Linked DNA regions of Oreochromis niloticus. The protein of the gene in region 1 purifies or fractionates together with the protein of each later gene. This does not show direct contact. Links are inferred from orthologs where the notes say so. Each region holds a gene or a part of one and is shown in the gene's direction. Other genes may lie near its edges. The genes, in order: mphosph10 and imp4.

Evidence for each region.
Region 2: the proteins of mphosph10 (region 1) and imp4 purify together in Homo sapiens (affinity purification with mass spectrometry; 3 studies listed by BioGRID and IntAct, with this or other methods). This does not show direct contact. The link is inferred for Oreochromis niloticus from reciprocal best matches to the Homo sapiens genes MPHOSPH10 and IMP4.

The regions. Positions count from the first base shown.
Region 1 is NC_031965.2:17,952,135-17,959,649, reverse strand, and holds the start of mphosph10 (U3 small nucleolar ribonucleoprotein MPP10), read left to right. Parts: upstream 1-4,542; 5' UTR 4,543-4,585; coding exon 4,586-4,671; intron 4,672-4,798; coding exon of another isoform or gene 4,799-4,886; exon of another isoform or gene 4,887-4,901; intron 4,902-6,195; coding exon 6,196-6,859; intron 6,860-6,951; coding exon 6,952-7,124; intron 7,125-7,207; coding exon 7,208-7,373; intron 7,374-7,515. Other genes in the region: mcee (methylmalonyl-CoA epimerase, mitochondrial), read right to left, coding at 1,189-1,341, 2,367-2,707, 4,465-4,542, 4,799-4,886. UniProt on the Homo sapiens protein: Component of the 60-80S U3 small nucleolar ribonucleoprotein (U3 snoRNP). Required for the early cleavages during pre-18S ribosomal RNA processing. Part of the small subunit (SSU) processome, first precursor of the small eukaryotic ribosomal subunit.
Region 2 is NC_031977.2:3,338,407-3,346,628, forward strand, and holds the start of imp4 (U3 small nucleolar ribonucleoprotein IMP4), read left to right. Parts: upstream 1-5,015; 5' UTR 5,016-5,166; coding exon 5,167-5,169; intron 5,170-6,622; coding exon 6,623-6,731; intron 6,732-6,847; coding exon 6,848-6,931; intron 6,932-7,019; coding exon 7,020-7,129; intron 7,130-8,222. UniProt on the Homo sapiens protein: Component of the 60-80S U3 small nucleolar ribonucleoprotein (U3 snoRNP). Required for the early cleavages during pre-18S ribosomal RNA processing. Part of the small subunit (SSU) processome, first precursor of the small eukaryotic ribosomal subunit.

The DNA.
Region 1 (7,515 bases):
CTGTAAATCTTTTCAGCCAATCACGTGGCAGCAACTCATGTAGACATGGTCAAGATGACCTGAGGTTCAAACTGAGCGTCAGTGACTTTGAACATAATATGGTTGTTGGTGCTAGACGCGGTGGTCTGAGATTTTCAGTTGTCGATCTACTCAATTTTCTCTCAGGCTCTCTTGTCTTTAAAAGCATAATTCTCTTCATAGACGTTGACATTGATAGTCTGTGTTCTGTATTTATTTAGACAGTAATTTTATCTTGGCTTTTTCCTCCCACATACCTTGTAAATGCATTTCTGTCTACTAGTGAAGTTAAGTAAAGTCTGGATATTAACATTACAACGAATCCTTTAATTATGAATGCTTTAGGAATTTTCTGTGGGTGAAAAAAGTGCTAAGGCTGCAATGCACAGACTCACCAAAACTGGAAAAACATTGCCTTTCAATTTCTGCTTCAGTATTCAGATGGTAGGGTCAGTATTAGTAGTTCAGACTGCTGGTTTTGTAAAAGTGTTGGAGAGATTTTATTGGGACACTTTGAGACTCTTTTTTACCAATTGAGCATCTTTTAAACACCACAGCCTACCTGAGTATTGTTGCTGACCACGCCGATCCCTTTAAGACCAGTGTGCCATCATCTGATGGCTGCTTACAGCAGGATATCGTAACACGTCACGGAGCTCAAATTATCTCAAATTGTTTTCTTGAACATGACAGTGAGCTGACTGTGCTGAAATGGCCTCCAGAGTCACCAGATCTCAGTCCAATAGAGAACCTATTGGATGTGGTGGAATGAGAGATTGATGTTGTGGATGAGCTGACAAAAAATGCTATCATGTCAATATGGACCAAAATCTCTGACGAATGTTCCCAGAACCTTGTTGAACCCAAAAGGAAGTCCAACCCAGTGCTGTGTCTAAGAAAGCCATCATTTACTGTATGTGACAAATTAGCAGATATGGGAAATATCAAATTTCTATCACAAACACTTTAGGGGAAGCTGTTAGAACAACACACCGCATACTAATACATCACATGTTAATGTACCACATAGAACTTTATTCCATACAAAGAAGAACTGTGTTTCCAAAAGCAGAAGTGCTATAAGGAACAATCCCCGTTATCACTCTGATCATCAAACTGCCTGGAAAACATGTTAACGGCTCCTCTCAGTCAACGGCAGGATGTGATGCTTCATGCTTCTTCAAGCTCCACGAGAACACCGTCACAGTCTTTAGGATGAAGAAACATGACCGGTTTGCCGTGAGCGCCTATCCGCGGCTCCGCCGAAAGCATTCTGATGTTCTTGGTTTTTAGGTCCGCTATCGCAGCGTTAATGTCGTCTACCTGCAGTCGTAGGGGGAACAAAACATTAATGTTCAATTCATTTGTTATCATTAAGGTTACAAATGATCACAACTGAGTGTCAACTCTCATAACACTGCAGACTAACGCACAGGCCCCCGTGCTGAGTCACATTATGTTGGGTTTACAGCTGCTGTAATGCAACAGGAATAATTCGGGACAAGCTGTTACTGGATGTATAGGACCAACAACAACACTGACATTCGTTCTCTGACATGAACACATAACACCAACAACAAACTCTACTACACTCACACAGGCTCTAGATAATTATTCCTAAATTCTTCTTTGCATCGATGCACGTAGTAATTATGATTTGAATGACCCCAATGCAAAGTAAACTGAACAAACAAACATAAAAAAACAAAAAGGTAAAACGATGTTTCTGCAAAAGTTGAACTGCTTTTTTTAAAGTTATTTTACTTTATGCAATTTAGTAAATTCATAATATTACATTAGGCCATTCTCATGGTCAGTGATGACAATTATTTTCCAGTTTTTAGTGTTTGAAAATGTTTATTTTTAGTTTAATTTGTTAGTTTCCATCTTTTAAATTATTACCTTATGATGGGTATTTGTAAATTCAGAGTAGATCTTAAAATAAAAACACAAGCAATGATAATCGTGTGGTCATCCCAGGTCATATCATATGTACCGAATATGTATGTATTTATATGTACCAAACAGCCATACTACTACACCGATTCACACAAAAAATCCTCATAAAACACGAGAGAGAGATTTTTCTGCAGCACATCCTCAGAGCAAAAGGAAAATGAATATGAACCAGAAGGCGAGGATTGGCTCGTAAAACACTAGTGCGACTAATGCTTTATACCAGTTCACTCATTCATTATATGCATGTCACAGTAGACGTAGACAAGAGGAAGTAAGAAGATGACCAAATTCTGAATTCAGTCTCGTGAACTTGGGGTCACGTGAACAGATAAATGAAGCAGAGTCATGAAAAAATGTAATAAAAGCTCTCCCCTGTCATCGCCTCTCACCTCGATACAAATATGATGCATTCCTCCTGACTTGTTCTTCTGCAAGAAGCCCGAGATGGGGCTCTTCTCTCCTAGAGGATGGAGCAGCTCCAGCTTGGTGTTGCCGAGCTCCACGAACACCGTGTAGACGCCGTGATCGGGCAGGGGTACCTTCTCGCTCACCGTGGCCCCCAGCACATCCCGATACAGCGCCGTGGCCTTCTCCATGTCAGGGACAGCGATGGCGATGTGGTTAAGCCTACCCAGCTTCCACAGAGTCGTGGGAACTCCCTGATGGAGGGGCGCCGTTGTTGAATGTACCCTCTGGAGCGCGACGCGAGAGCATCTTGAAACACCTGCCGCTAAATATGAAATTAAAATACAGAGAGATCAGCTGTGTTTGTCGTTTCTGCTCAAGTAGCTTTGATGTATGCTGTATACTCTGGGCCAAGTCCCGAGTTACATTAATGATGTTTAAAGCCTATGCTTCCTGCACTCCCAAATCTGTTCTCCTTTGTGTGACTGACTGTAGGTTTTTGATTATATGAATAATAATTAGACCAATCTTTTACTGTCTGGTGTTCTGTTTGATGCATGCTGAGTTAATGTAAACCTGAATGACACTCAGTTGTGAAAGAAAGACTTTTCAAAATAAAATTATTCGGCTTCCCTTCCTCCTACGACCAATCGACAGGGCAATTCCTTAAAGACGACATTTTAAAGTAAAGTGCTCATACTGAACATAAAATCTGCACCTTACCATTCATTCAGCTCAATATTTTATACTTTCAAACGACTTTATTGAGTTATGTTGCAAAATAAACCTACCGTCTCCTGATGAAGACATAGTTTTTAAAAAAGTACTTTTTTTTTGTTTGTTTTTGTTACAGATGATACTTAGTTTTTTTATTTTAAAGCCGAAGTCTCAGGAGGACATATCAATAATCTTGGTTTTATTACTGTAAGAGCAATCTTTTGTTTCCCAGGCCATAATCTTGTTTTTGCCTTCATTGGAGGTGATCTTTGAATTCTTCTCCTAGTCTCAGACATGGCTTAATCCCTGTCTGGGAAACCTGCTGTTTATGTACTGAACATATACATATAATTAGGTTATTAGGTCAACCCTGTGTTTCAGAGAGTAAATAACAGTACCCATATAATTTTACACACATCTCCTTACCATACAAAAATCTTGGAATAAAATGCTCCAGTGTGAAGTTACTTAATGGTATGCCTTTGGCTTAAGTTAGTAGTTTGGAAGTTAATAGGTACCTTCGCCAAATATCTCTCTCTGTAAACACGACAGCTTGAAGTGAATGATAAAACTTTGTAGGGGTGTAGCGTGGGGTCATGTTAACTTGGCTTACATCCACCAAGGTCAGCATAATGATTTATTGGTCACAAATTGACAAAAAGCTTTATAACTTGGAAACTATAATTCTTATGATTGTCCTGTGTATTGTCAACATGGAGAAAGCAGCATGTAAAGATTTCAAATGTGTCACATTTGACCTCTGACCTCTCCTTCAAGGTAAATTGATTGATTAATTGATAGACTGATAGACTAAATTGATTGAGAGGTGATAACAATGCTATGTGGAGCTATTTTATTGGAAAACAAAAGTAAAAACTAGTTTGATCAAAGACTTTTTTCACCTGACATGCATCACTAAACATTTTAGGATCCACTGAAATGAATGCTACATATGTACACATATGTCCACATAAAAAAATGATACTCAAAATTATGTCAACTATATTCAAATGGGTTTCAACGGGGCAAATAACAAAAGCCTTTTTGCTGCACTACAAACTTCCTAAAGTATATTTGAAAAGAACAAAGAAAACAAATGAATATAGAGAAAATACAATGCTACTCCCTTAAAAGTAAATACTGTATACAGAGTGAGCTACCTTGGCGGAGGTTTGCGCTTTCTGAGTGCTTCTGGTTCATGATGTAACGTAAACATTGTTTATGTTCGTCAACTTTGCGGGCTCGTTTGAGCTTCCGAAAAAAATTACAGTTCCCTATAACGAAGCTTAGCATCATCGTTTATCGTTTGCAGAACAGTGAACTTAATAGCGAGCATTTTGTAGCTGGATAATTGTTGACACAGACCTGCAACCTTCAGCACGGCGGACGCCATGTTCGTACCCCGGAACCAAGTGGCAGGTACAGAACGGTTTCTCGGTGAGCCTGTTTACGTGCGACACAGACGGTCACACATGTGGGGGCAAACATGGCTAGTGGAGATGTGTTCAGTGTTCTGGAAGAGTGTGTAAAGAAAATAAATGCCAACACAGGACAGCCAGAAAACTTCCTCAGGTAAGTGTTTGTTGTTTGCGTTGAGTATTTTTTTTAAATCTTTTGAAGAAGCTGTTAAATATTTTTAGAAATTCGCTCCAGCTAGCTGAAGCTAACTGTAGCGTTAGCACAGCATTAACACATTTACCTGACAAGACGTTTATACGTCGAGGTTTTGGTAAGATATTGATGATTAGGCGAGTTTCTCCTTTATGTTTCACGTAGAAACACTTCATCGCTTTATGTTCCTAAAATCAGCTGGCTCACGTCTGCATTGTAGAGCTACGTAAAGAAAAAGAAAAAAAAGATGATGTGCTTGTAATAACTGACGTGTTAGACTACCAACTGCTGTGACACACCAGATGTTTATTCATTGCGTATGATGTTTGTCAATCCTCAGAAAGTCCACACCTGTTAGAAAATGTAAAACTTCAAATGTCTTGAATGAAGTAAATATCTAGTACATGCATTTGTGCACACAAGTTTGTGTTGCCGTATTTCAAGTGGGGGTTAAGACCCCTCACCTCACCCAACAGGAGAAAACTTGTATGAATAAAATGGTGGAGAACCCCTACTGAATTTCCACAATCAGACAGGCAAGTTTTTCCCAGCAGAACAGGACTGAGCTCTCGCTGCTGGAGCTGCATAAGCAGTTTAACAAATAAGCACAGTGTTGTTTGGGTGTGGGAGAGAGCACAGCTTTTTCTTGAGGAGCCCAAAAGTCGGCGTAATACAGAAAAATTGTTAATCAGTGCCAAATTGTGGCATTTCTTTGCTTTTTGGAGTGCCAACTGCAGTAATTTATGCCGAATGCTACTGCTGCAGTCATAAAAATCAAATTTTCTGTATCAAATTTTCACTTCACTCTGAGCTACTAAAACAAGAGAAGAAAATTGCTGAAAAGTGGCAAAACGTGCACTTCTGGACTGCATGTGGTATAGTAGTGATCTTAGAGCCATCCCAAAAACACAGGCCACATCATCCCATGGCAACGAAATCAATAATTTGAAGGATGAAACAGTCCCATGGGGCAAGTTGCTGCCCGAAGTGGAGGAGTTTAAGCATGAATGAGGGGAGGAGGAGATTGGCAGATGGATTGAAGCGGCATCTGCAGTGATGCGGATGCTTTGTTGGTTTGTTGTGGTGAAGAGAGAGCTGAGCCTAAAAATGAAGCTTTTGGATTACCGATCGATTTACATTTATGCCCTCACTTATGGTCACAAGCTCTGGGCAGTGACCGAAAGAACGAGGTTGCGGATATGATTGCTCCCACCTGTATGAGCTGCAAGAGGTGGCCGTGGTGAGGGAAGTCTGGCCTTCTCTGATTAGACTGCTGCCCCTGCGACCTGAACCCAGATTAGCGGTAGAAGATGTATGGATGAAACACAGTGGTTTTGTTTTTGTACCAACACATTAATAAATAAGCCACAGACTTTCATCCAATTCAGTTATTTAATACCAACAACAACAACAACAACTAATTTTCCCCCCAATATCGCATCATAAGACATACCTGACTAATTCTGTGTCTTTTCATCTTTGCAGCCTTCAAGATGAAGTGGCAACAGACTTTACCTCCATCACTAAGACTCTATATGACCTGCACAAAGCTCAGGAACCTGGACATTATAAAGGAAGCCCGCTAGCTCAGCTGGTTGTTGAAAATTTTGATGAAGAACAGATTTGGCAGGAGCTAGAGCTGCAGAACAAAGCCGTACTGAAACACTTTAAAAACGCCATAGACGAGGCTTTAGCAGATGAGACGTTAACTGTGCTGGAGGAAGAGGAGCAGGAAGAGAGTGGTCAAGAAGAAGAAGGAGCATCAGCAGATGATGATGACGATGAAGAAGAGGAGGAGGAGGAACAAGAATTGGAACCACCGAGATGGTCAAAGAAAATGGCTGTGGAGGTAGAGGATAACTCAGAGGATGACTCTGATTTGGATTTTGATGTGGATGCTCTGGAGAAAAAAGAGAAACAGAAGAAGGATACAGGAAGGAAGGCTTCCAAAGCAAAAGTGATGCCCTCCGAGGTTGATGATAAGTTCTTTAAACTGTCAGAGATGGAGGCATTTCTGGATGATATGGACAAGCGCGAGGGAAAGGAGGATGAAGATGACGTAGACTATTTTCAGGATCTGCCTTCAGATGAGGATGATGATCTTGACCTAGAGCAAATCATTTCCACCAAAAAGCAAAAGAAAAATACTGTATGTATCTTATCACACATTTTCCACTCATTTTTTTGCCTCCCGATAGTTCAAACTACAGCCAATATATTGACTGTTCTTTATGCCGACAGGTGAAGAGCTCCAGGAATCTCAAGTACAAGGACTTCTTTGACGCCGTGGACAGCGAACCAGCTAAAACAGACGACCTGTCAGATGGAGAGGATGACAGCGTGGATGAAAGCCAGGAGGAAGGTGAAGAAGTAATAGATGACGACTATGATGGCGAAGAGGAGGGTGATGATGAGTAAGTGCGATCAAAAATTATAAAACGTGTAGTTATGTGTGGGAGAAGTCAATTTCACCATGTTCGTGTCTGGACTTTGGCAGGGATGAGGAGAGGGGTCAGTCTAGGTCATCTCATAAGAAAGTGACCTTTAATCTCTCGGATGATGAAGACAGCGAGGGAGAGGATGTGGAGGACATTTTGGGAGGAAAAGCCAAAGGCTCAGCAAAGTCTGAAGCAAAGTCATCGTTTGAGAAACGGCAAGAAAAGGTAAACGAAATGCCCCTGAAACAAGGTTTTAGATGTCACTGGTTTGATTAACATATCCAACACAGCAAGTTGGAGCAAGTTTTTTAAAATTTAATTTGTTAATTTCATTCTAATTTATCCCTGTTTGACTTAAGAGGATGCA
Region 2 (8,222 bases), on another chromosome or scaffold:
ATATGTAAGACTGCTTTCTTCCATTTGCGCAATATCTCTAAAATTAGAAATATCCTGTCTCAGAGTGATGCTGAAAAACTAGTTCATGCATTTATTACTTCCAGGCTGGACTACTGTAATTCACTATTATCAGGAAGTCCTAAAAACTCGCTGAGAAGCCTTCAGCTAATCCAAAATGCTGCAGCAAGAGTACTGACAGGGACTAGAAAGAGAGAGCATATTTCTCCTGTTTTGGCTTCCCTTCATTGGCTTCCTGTTAAATCCAGAATTGATTTCAAAATCCTGCTCCTCACATACAAGGTCTTAAATAATCAGGCCCCATCTTATCTTAATGACCTTGTAGTACCATATCACCCTATTAGAGCACTTCGCTCTTGCACTGCAGGCTTACTTGTTGTTCCTAGAGTATTTAAAAGTAGAATGGGAGGCAGAGCCTTCAGTTTTCAGGCCCCTCTTCTGTGGAACCAACTTCCAGTTTGGATTCGGGAGACAGACACTATCTCTACTTTCAAGATTAGGCTTTAAACTTTCCTTTTTGCTAAAGCATATAGTTAGGGCTGGACCAGGTGACCCTGAATCCTCCCTTAGTTATGCTGCAATAGACGTAGGCTGCCGGGGATTCCCATGATGCATTGAGTTTTTCCCTTCCAGTCACCTTTCTCACTCACTATGTGCTAATAGACCTCTCTGCATCGAATCATATCTGTTATTAATCTCTGTCTCTCTTCCACAGCATGTCTTTCATCCTGTTTTCCTTCTTTCACCCCAACCGGTCGCAGCAGATGGCCGCCCCTCCCTGAGCCTGGTTCTGCCGGAGGTTTCTTCCTGTTAAAAGGGAGTTTTTCCTTCCCACTGTCGCCAAAGTGCTTGCTCATAGGGGGTCATATGATTGTTGGGTTTTTCTCTGTATTTATTATTGTGCTATCTACTGTACAATATAAAGTGCCTTGAGGCGACTTTTGTTGTGATTTGGCGCTATATAAATAAAATTGAATTGAATTGAATTATAACATACTGCTTCACTAACCAATGAGTAACATGAGTGCCAAAATCTTTTGTAAACAATCTGTGGATGTTCTCCAAAGTTAAAGTGAAAATGTTTGAGAAAACTTAAGAAAATATTAAAGAAGAGGTCGCTGACACTCTTTGGACTTTGGCGCGTCATTCCATCTCAAAGCAGCATATTTTTAGAACATTTCTTGCTGGACTACCTCCATTTTCCATTTAAAAAAAAAAACTTTATGGTCCAAGGTTTGAGCATATATAATGACTGCTGCAAACTTCTAGCTTCATATATCAAATAGTTTTTGAAATATATTACCATCAAAATAAATCAGAATCTGTAATTTGGGACAAAAATGAAGTTTTATTCAGTATGACTCGAAATGAATGGCTGAGTCTATAGACTAATCAGAAAAGTGCCAACAGTTAAGTCTGAGGACCATTTTCCCACAGACTTCCAGAGAAAGTCTTTTCACAACCACAGGTATCAACCCCTGGTGGCTTCAAAACAGTGCAAAGAAACTCTTTGCTTAACATTAGCCAGCTTATAGTTGGACATTTTGTGAAAAGCATATGTATTGGCTAACAATAGACAGAGCTATGAAGCCACTCCTGCTGTGAATTGTTACTATACTAAAAAAAAATTATTTGAATCGAACATTTTCATTGGCAATTGTAATTTAACTGTTGTTTTTTCTCACTAATTGATTATAATTTCAGATTGAATAATTAAATTATTCCAAAGACTCTGCCAACGCTCCTCGTGCCTGCATTTCACAGCAGAGATTCTGTATTTTCATACTCCTGCTCAGTCACAGCTTTGGTCATACCCACGTCGTCATAAAGTCCATCTGCTTTCTGAGGGAAGACCAGAAAAAGATGTAACACCTGTAACTCTTCATGCTGTTTAAATGTTTCAAGGTGTGGGAGGTTTTACCTTAAAAAGGTGTTTTTGTGTTGCTGTGAAAGAAAAGTTAGAGTTTAGTGAACCCACCATGGTTACATGCTACAGCACGATGCAGTGACCATTGTTTATTATTTATGAAATATTAAAACAAGAGCTAAAATTCTTACATTGCAAAATGGTTCATCTCGTATAGTACTGCAGCGCAAATAGCTTCCCTTACCATTATTTATCATCTGAAGGACTCATTAGAAGTGAAGAACATAAATGAACAGTAACACATAAAACACAAGGCCTGTCTCTACAGCTGATGGTGAAAGACCTGAATCCAGAATGTGCAAAATTAGATTTCATGTGACTAATTTTCATCAAACATATTCTTTATTTCATTTTCAGCTGTCATGTCTGTCAGGTCTCTGGGTCGTTGACCCCAAGTTTTGAATTTTAGAGGTTTTGGGGGTTTGTTCTCATTCTTTTTCCATATCTTTGTATTTTAATTCAGCACGTTTTTTTGAGTGCTTTCTATTTAACATTCATACACTGGAAAGTAACTTGTGGTTTAGTGTCTTGCCCAAGAATGCTTTGGCATGCAGACTGTAGCAGCCAGGGAACCACCAACCTTCCTCTACCTCCTGACTTACATCCACCCCATTCAGGCATTTAAGACATATTTGCATCTTTTAAAAGTTCTCATCCCACATAATCTGTAGAGGTGCCAAAATTACAGTGATTCTTAAAAATATTGTGTATACATGAATGATAATGTTGTAAAACAGTTCTTTTTGTTTTCTTTGTTTCTAATATATCAACAGCTCTAAGCTCCACTAAAAGTTAACATGTATAAATTTTAACTCTCAAAATCCAATAAATTGCTGCGTTGTTGTTGTGCTCCTGTCTTCCTTCTCTCTTTCCAACTGGTCACAGCAGATGGCCGCCCCTCCCTGAGCCTGTTTCTGTCGGAGGTTTCTTCCTGTTAAAGGGGGCTTTTTTCCTTCCTGCAGTCGCCAAAGTGCTTGCTCATAGGGGGTCATGTGATTGTTGGGTTTTTCTCTGTATGTATTACTGTAGGGTCTATCTTACAATATGAAGCACATTGAAGCCACTGTTGTTGTGATTTGGTGCTGAATAAATAAAATTGAATTGAATTATAATCTGAAAGGAATGAGAACAAGATGGATGGATAGATAGATGTTTTCTAAGTTTTATACTTCATGTAGTTGTGTCACACAGCTTGGGTGAAAGTCTTTCTAACTTTAGCTTCAGTGCAATAATTGTATGTCTGTTGTGGTGAAGTATAAAAATATCTTACTTTTCAGGTACATGCAGGTAAATGTGGTTACCATGGGCAGAAGAGGGAGCAGAATCCAGCGAATGAAACTCCAGATATATGAAGCAGTGGCTGCAGGGGGTTCCAGAAAAAGCATGTGGTTTGTATACATGTAGTGCAGCCCATGAGCACTATATCGACATTTACTTGCTTATCTACCTTTCTTGCACTAGAACAGGGAAACTACTGACTTGTTAGTGTTTTAATATCTGTTTGCACAACCAGCTGACACACTGCAACACAAACACGGTGTCCGCTTTGGTCTCCACCATCTCCAGAGATTAATATATGGCTAGTTATGTTTACCAGCTAGCCTATTATTAATTTATGTTATTCTAACTAACTAAAATTTGTGGTGTGCAAAATCACGAAATATTCCCTGAAATCCAAGTTAACACAAAGAGCTGAGTAACAGTCCCAAATCTTAACTGGGCTTACAGTCATAGAAAACCTATGATTCTCATAAATACTCATATTAGAACATCACCTTTTGTAATTTTTAAAATTATGAAAGCTTAACATGCATATAAAATTGAAATATTATCTTATGCTTACAGTTGTGGATGTAGCCTTCAGCCAGCTTGATGATGGTGCCATTTCTGTTTAGCAAACCACACCAGTACACTCCTTGTTTGTGGTTTGGCTCCAACACTTCCACAGTGAAGGAGCTCACATCCTGGGTCACCTTTAGTTTGCCTCCATCCACCAAGTGTTCACTGTGACTGAAGGTGAGGCCGGTGCAGCACTCGGCAGAGTTCTGCTGACACCAAACCCTCGGAAGGCTCTTGTACTTCACTTCATAAGGACATGTCAGCTTCTGCCAAAACAATGCCTCACAGGTACCTGCACAGTGACATTGTTTAGGTGTGGAAATAATTTTTAAATGCTCCTGATCAGTAGTTCTCCAGGCTTTCTGGGGGTCTACTAAAGTTTTCCTCTTGATGTTGGTTGTTTTTCACTCATTTTCATTCCAGTACTCGTAGATATTTATTTGAATAGGAATGTTTTGTTTTTGTTTTTGTTAAGCCATACAGTTTCATACTGACCTGTTAATACTCCTGTACTAATATATATTAGTAATAACCAGTACTAAGTAATACAATACCAATACTCTAAAAGCCCACATGAACAGAGTACAAGACAAAGTACAAGTTGATAGTTTATGTTTTATTCTTTCTCACTGTTTTTAAATAATAATATCACTGAATGTAATTATGCCAAAGAAAATGTGTACCTCGAAATGATAGAAGATAATTTTCCTTCATGATATACCGAATGGCACTGATGCCATATTAAAACCCGTTTTGGACTAGATAGTTTAATCTACTTCCGTTAGTGGCCCAGTCAGGCACTACAATGATCTACAAAAACAAATATTTAAACTCTAAGATATGAGTTCAAGTCCTCTGTAATCATGACGTGTACGCTTACCTGTTGCCAAAAGAAATACTGAAATCAGAATATGCATGATCCAAACACCGAATCTGGTTATACTCAAGTCTAATTTATTCAACAGGAAGAGGTGCTTTTAATGGCAACTGACATATAGCAGGAAATATTTGGCCACAGCGTTGTTGCCTGCCTTTCATGGTGTAATGGTGAGGGGATGATTTAATCATATTACCTCCTCAAGGGAGAATCTTCGTTCTTACAACAACCTGGCGGATTTATGTGTCTGTTTATTCACTGAATATGCGAAGCAGTTACAAGTTTATCGGTAAAAAAAAAAAAGAGAGAGAGAGAGAGAGAAGAGAAAGAAAAAAAAGAATTCTTTGGCTTTTAATTTGAAAAATGAGTCATTACAGTACAGTACATGTCAGTATCGACGTTTGCCATTGGTCATTCTTTCAGCCAATGGCACAAACTCTTGTAGGTACGTCTCTCTCCGTGTCCATGTGAGTAGCGTGGGTTAGCTACTAGCAATAAACACATCATGGTAAGTTGTAAAAAATTGTAAGGTTTGTGCGAGCGTTAATTTGTGTTTTAGTGTGATACTAAAAGGAGATGGTAAAGGTCGAAGCTGACACAGAAGCGCAGCTCAAGGTGGACGTACCGAGCGTATTTCCCCACCCGAGTGTTAGCACGCATTCACATAGAGCCATAGAGCACAGCAGTAAAGCTCTTTAACTGGTATTGTTGAAATACTAGAGTACTGTTTAAACGCTTGTTTTCGTTCCCAACTGCATTTTCTGTATCGTCACAGACTGGTGTATAACTAGGAAAAATAAACCCACGAAGCCTATCTAATGAGTGAAAAAAATAACTTGCTCGTTGGTCAAGAAGCGTGAGTTTTCTAATCAAAACAAAGATAGCAGCTCTCCAGGAACCTGCTTTGAAAAAAAAGTCTCAGGTCTCAGAAATATGGAATATTGTGCTCACTTTCGTTGTGTCAGAAAGAAATAATTGAGAATTACATGTAATAACCTTTAGTGAATTCTTACAAATGTGTCATTAAAATGTGACTAATGAAGATACAATCTTGATTGCCAGACACAGAACAGTGAGGGGAGAACCCCTGTAGGTTATTAAATGTGAATTAACGGGACACTGTATGTGCTTTTTTTGTTTTAACTGAACTTGTATGTCTGGGTGCCTTGAAAATAGAATTTAGATAAAGTTGGTTTTATTTGCAAATGTCAGGGGTTTTGAGAATTGTTTGATCATTTACGTCACAGAGTTTAATGAAATAAATCCAGACTCTTCTGTTCTTCTCAGTTTAAGGAGTCTGTTCATCAATTTCAATTCCAAAAAGAGTGTCTTGGGTTTAACTCCCAACTCCAGGGGTTTATATGAAGTTGCTGCTATTGTTGCGCTACTTTTCATTCCTTTTAATCCGGGTTAATGAGCTGAGTGAACTGTTAGTGGCTTCCTCATTTTAAAATTTATCCAAGTTAGAGTAACTGCTTTTATATCCTTAATGTTATGGGGTGGCTGTGGCTCAGGAAGTAGAGCAGGTCTTCTACAAATCAGAAGGTTGCTGCTTTGATTCCTGGCTACTCCAGTCCAGACAACGTATCCTTGGGCAAGATGCTGAAGCTCGAGTTATGAAGCACTTTGACTGCTCAAGTTAACAAGTGCTATATAAGAACCAGTCCAAAGTGACCTTAATTCAATTTAAATTCTCCTTTTTACTTAAGTAAAATTTTTAACGTAGGGAGATTTAACCGTAGACCTGTTCAGATATGTCCAGTGTTTTTACTTACATGTTTGCCATTATGTATTAAGTTTTTACGATTATAAGTTATTTCTAACATTTCGTCTTGTTTTCTCACTAACTTGTGTGAGATGTGTAGACATGTTCAGATATTGTGGTAACTGTCATTTTGCAAGGTAATGTCATTATGTTAAGGGGCCTGTTTTTGGAGTAATATGGTGTAATGTTTGCGTAGCTGCGTCGAGAGGTGAGACTGAGGCGGGAGTACCTGTACAGGAAGGCACAGGAGGACAGGCTCCGAACAATAGAGGAGAAGAAGCAGAAGCTGAAGGGTGCCCTCGACGGTAGGTTGGGGTGATCCTTAAGATCCTTTTTCCAACTACATTTTGCTTGACCAGAGTTGGCACCAAAATTCTCTGACCACACACGAGTGTGTAAAACATCATTTACTTCTCTGCAGAAAATCGTCTCCTTCCCACTGAGATACGCAAAGAAGCTCTTGAGCTACAGAAACTAGTGGAGTATGACGACGAAGGGGCAGAAGGCAAGTGTTGTGCATTCTTACTAGCATTTTGTCAGTGTTCCTCACTTTTTGTTCACTCATAAATTTTGGTGCTTTCTTGTGTGTGCAGGTGTCAGCTCTCATGTGGATGATGAGTATAAATGGGCTGGAGTAGAAGATCCTAAAGTCATGGTCACTACATCCAGAGACCCAAGCTCCAGACTCAAAATGTTTGCCAAGGTTAGTACATATTTAATGGCATGTGCAGTTATTTCAACCCTGGTTCTTGATGATTTTCATAGATGTTTCTGTATATTACAGATGAAAAATGAAAACACACAAAATAATTTCCAAATATAGAACAACGTCTAAATCCAAGGAGGGTCCAGTATTAAAGAATTTAAATGGAGACCTGTGAATGAAAAAATAAATAGTACAAATAGTGCTAACTTAGAAATATGGCGTTACATGGTGCGTTCTTAGACATTTACATTAAAATGTAAGAAATACTGATATACATTTTATTGACAGGCTTCAAAACTATTTGAAGGATACAACAAATTTTTAATCCAACAATTCTCTAGCCCTTCATTGAGCCTGGTGCTGCCAGAGGTTTCTTCCTGTAAAAAGGAAGTTTTTCCTTCCCACTTTCGCCAAGTGTTTGCTCATAAGGGGTTATTTGATTGTCGTGGATTTCTCTATATTATTGTCATATCATATGCAGATATTATAGAAATAACAAAACCATATTGTAATAGCACCTAGATATGATACAGTAAGTAAAAAGTAAAAGATGGCATGAAGCAGCAAGTGTGATATATTAATAAAATTGAAATGACAGTTGCCTCCTGTAAGTGGCTACATTGTGCTAGTTAGACTCATAAGCCCCGTTCCCATTAGCACCTTCTCGGATCGACTCGCCACGACTCGACTCGGATCGACTCGGATCGACTGGTTTTCCATTACAGTCGGGTAGTACCTGTTATGCATGGCTGTCGTCATAGCAAAGCATCCGAGCGTCCCACAAAGTAATTACTATGTGACATGGACGCTACAGCAAAGGTGGACGTCGAGGCAAGAACATACCTGCTGCTCAGTCTGTGACTTTTCGCTAGTCTCGGGGGACCACAGCGTTGTTTCTTGTAGTTATTTCCCTCGTTGCCGGGATTCCAAAATGGTGGTTCTGATTTTCATGAACAAGATACTCTCATGACTCATCAAGTGACGCTATTGACCAGCCAATCGGTGGCATGCAGCCTGACAACATCACATTTTAGTACCTGCTCAGATCGTTTGGAACCCAGGGCAAGTAGATACTAAAAAAGTACCTGCT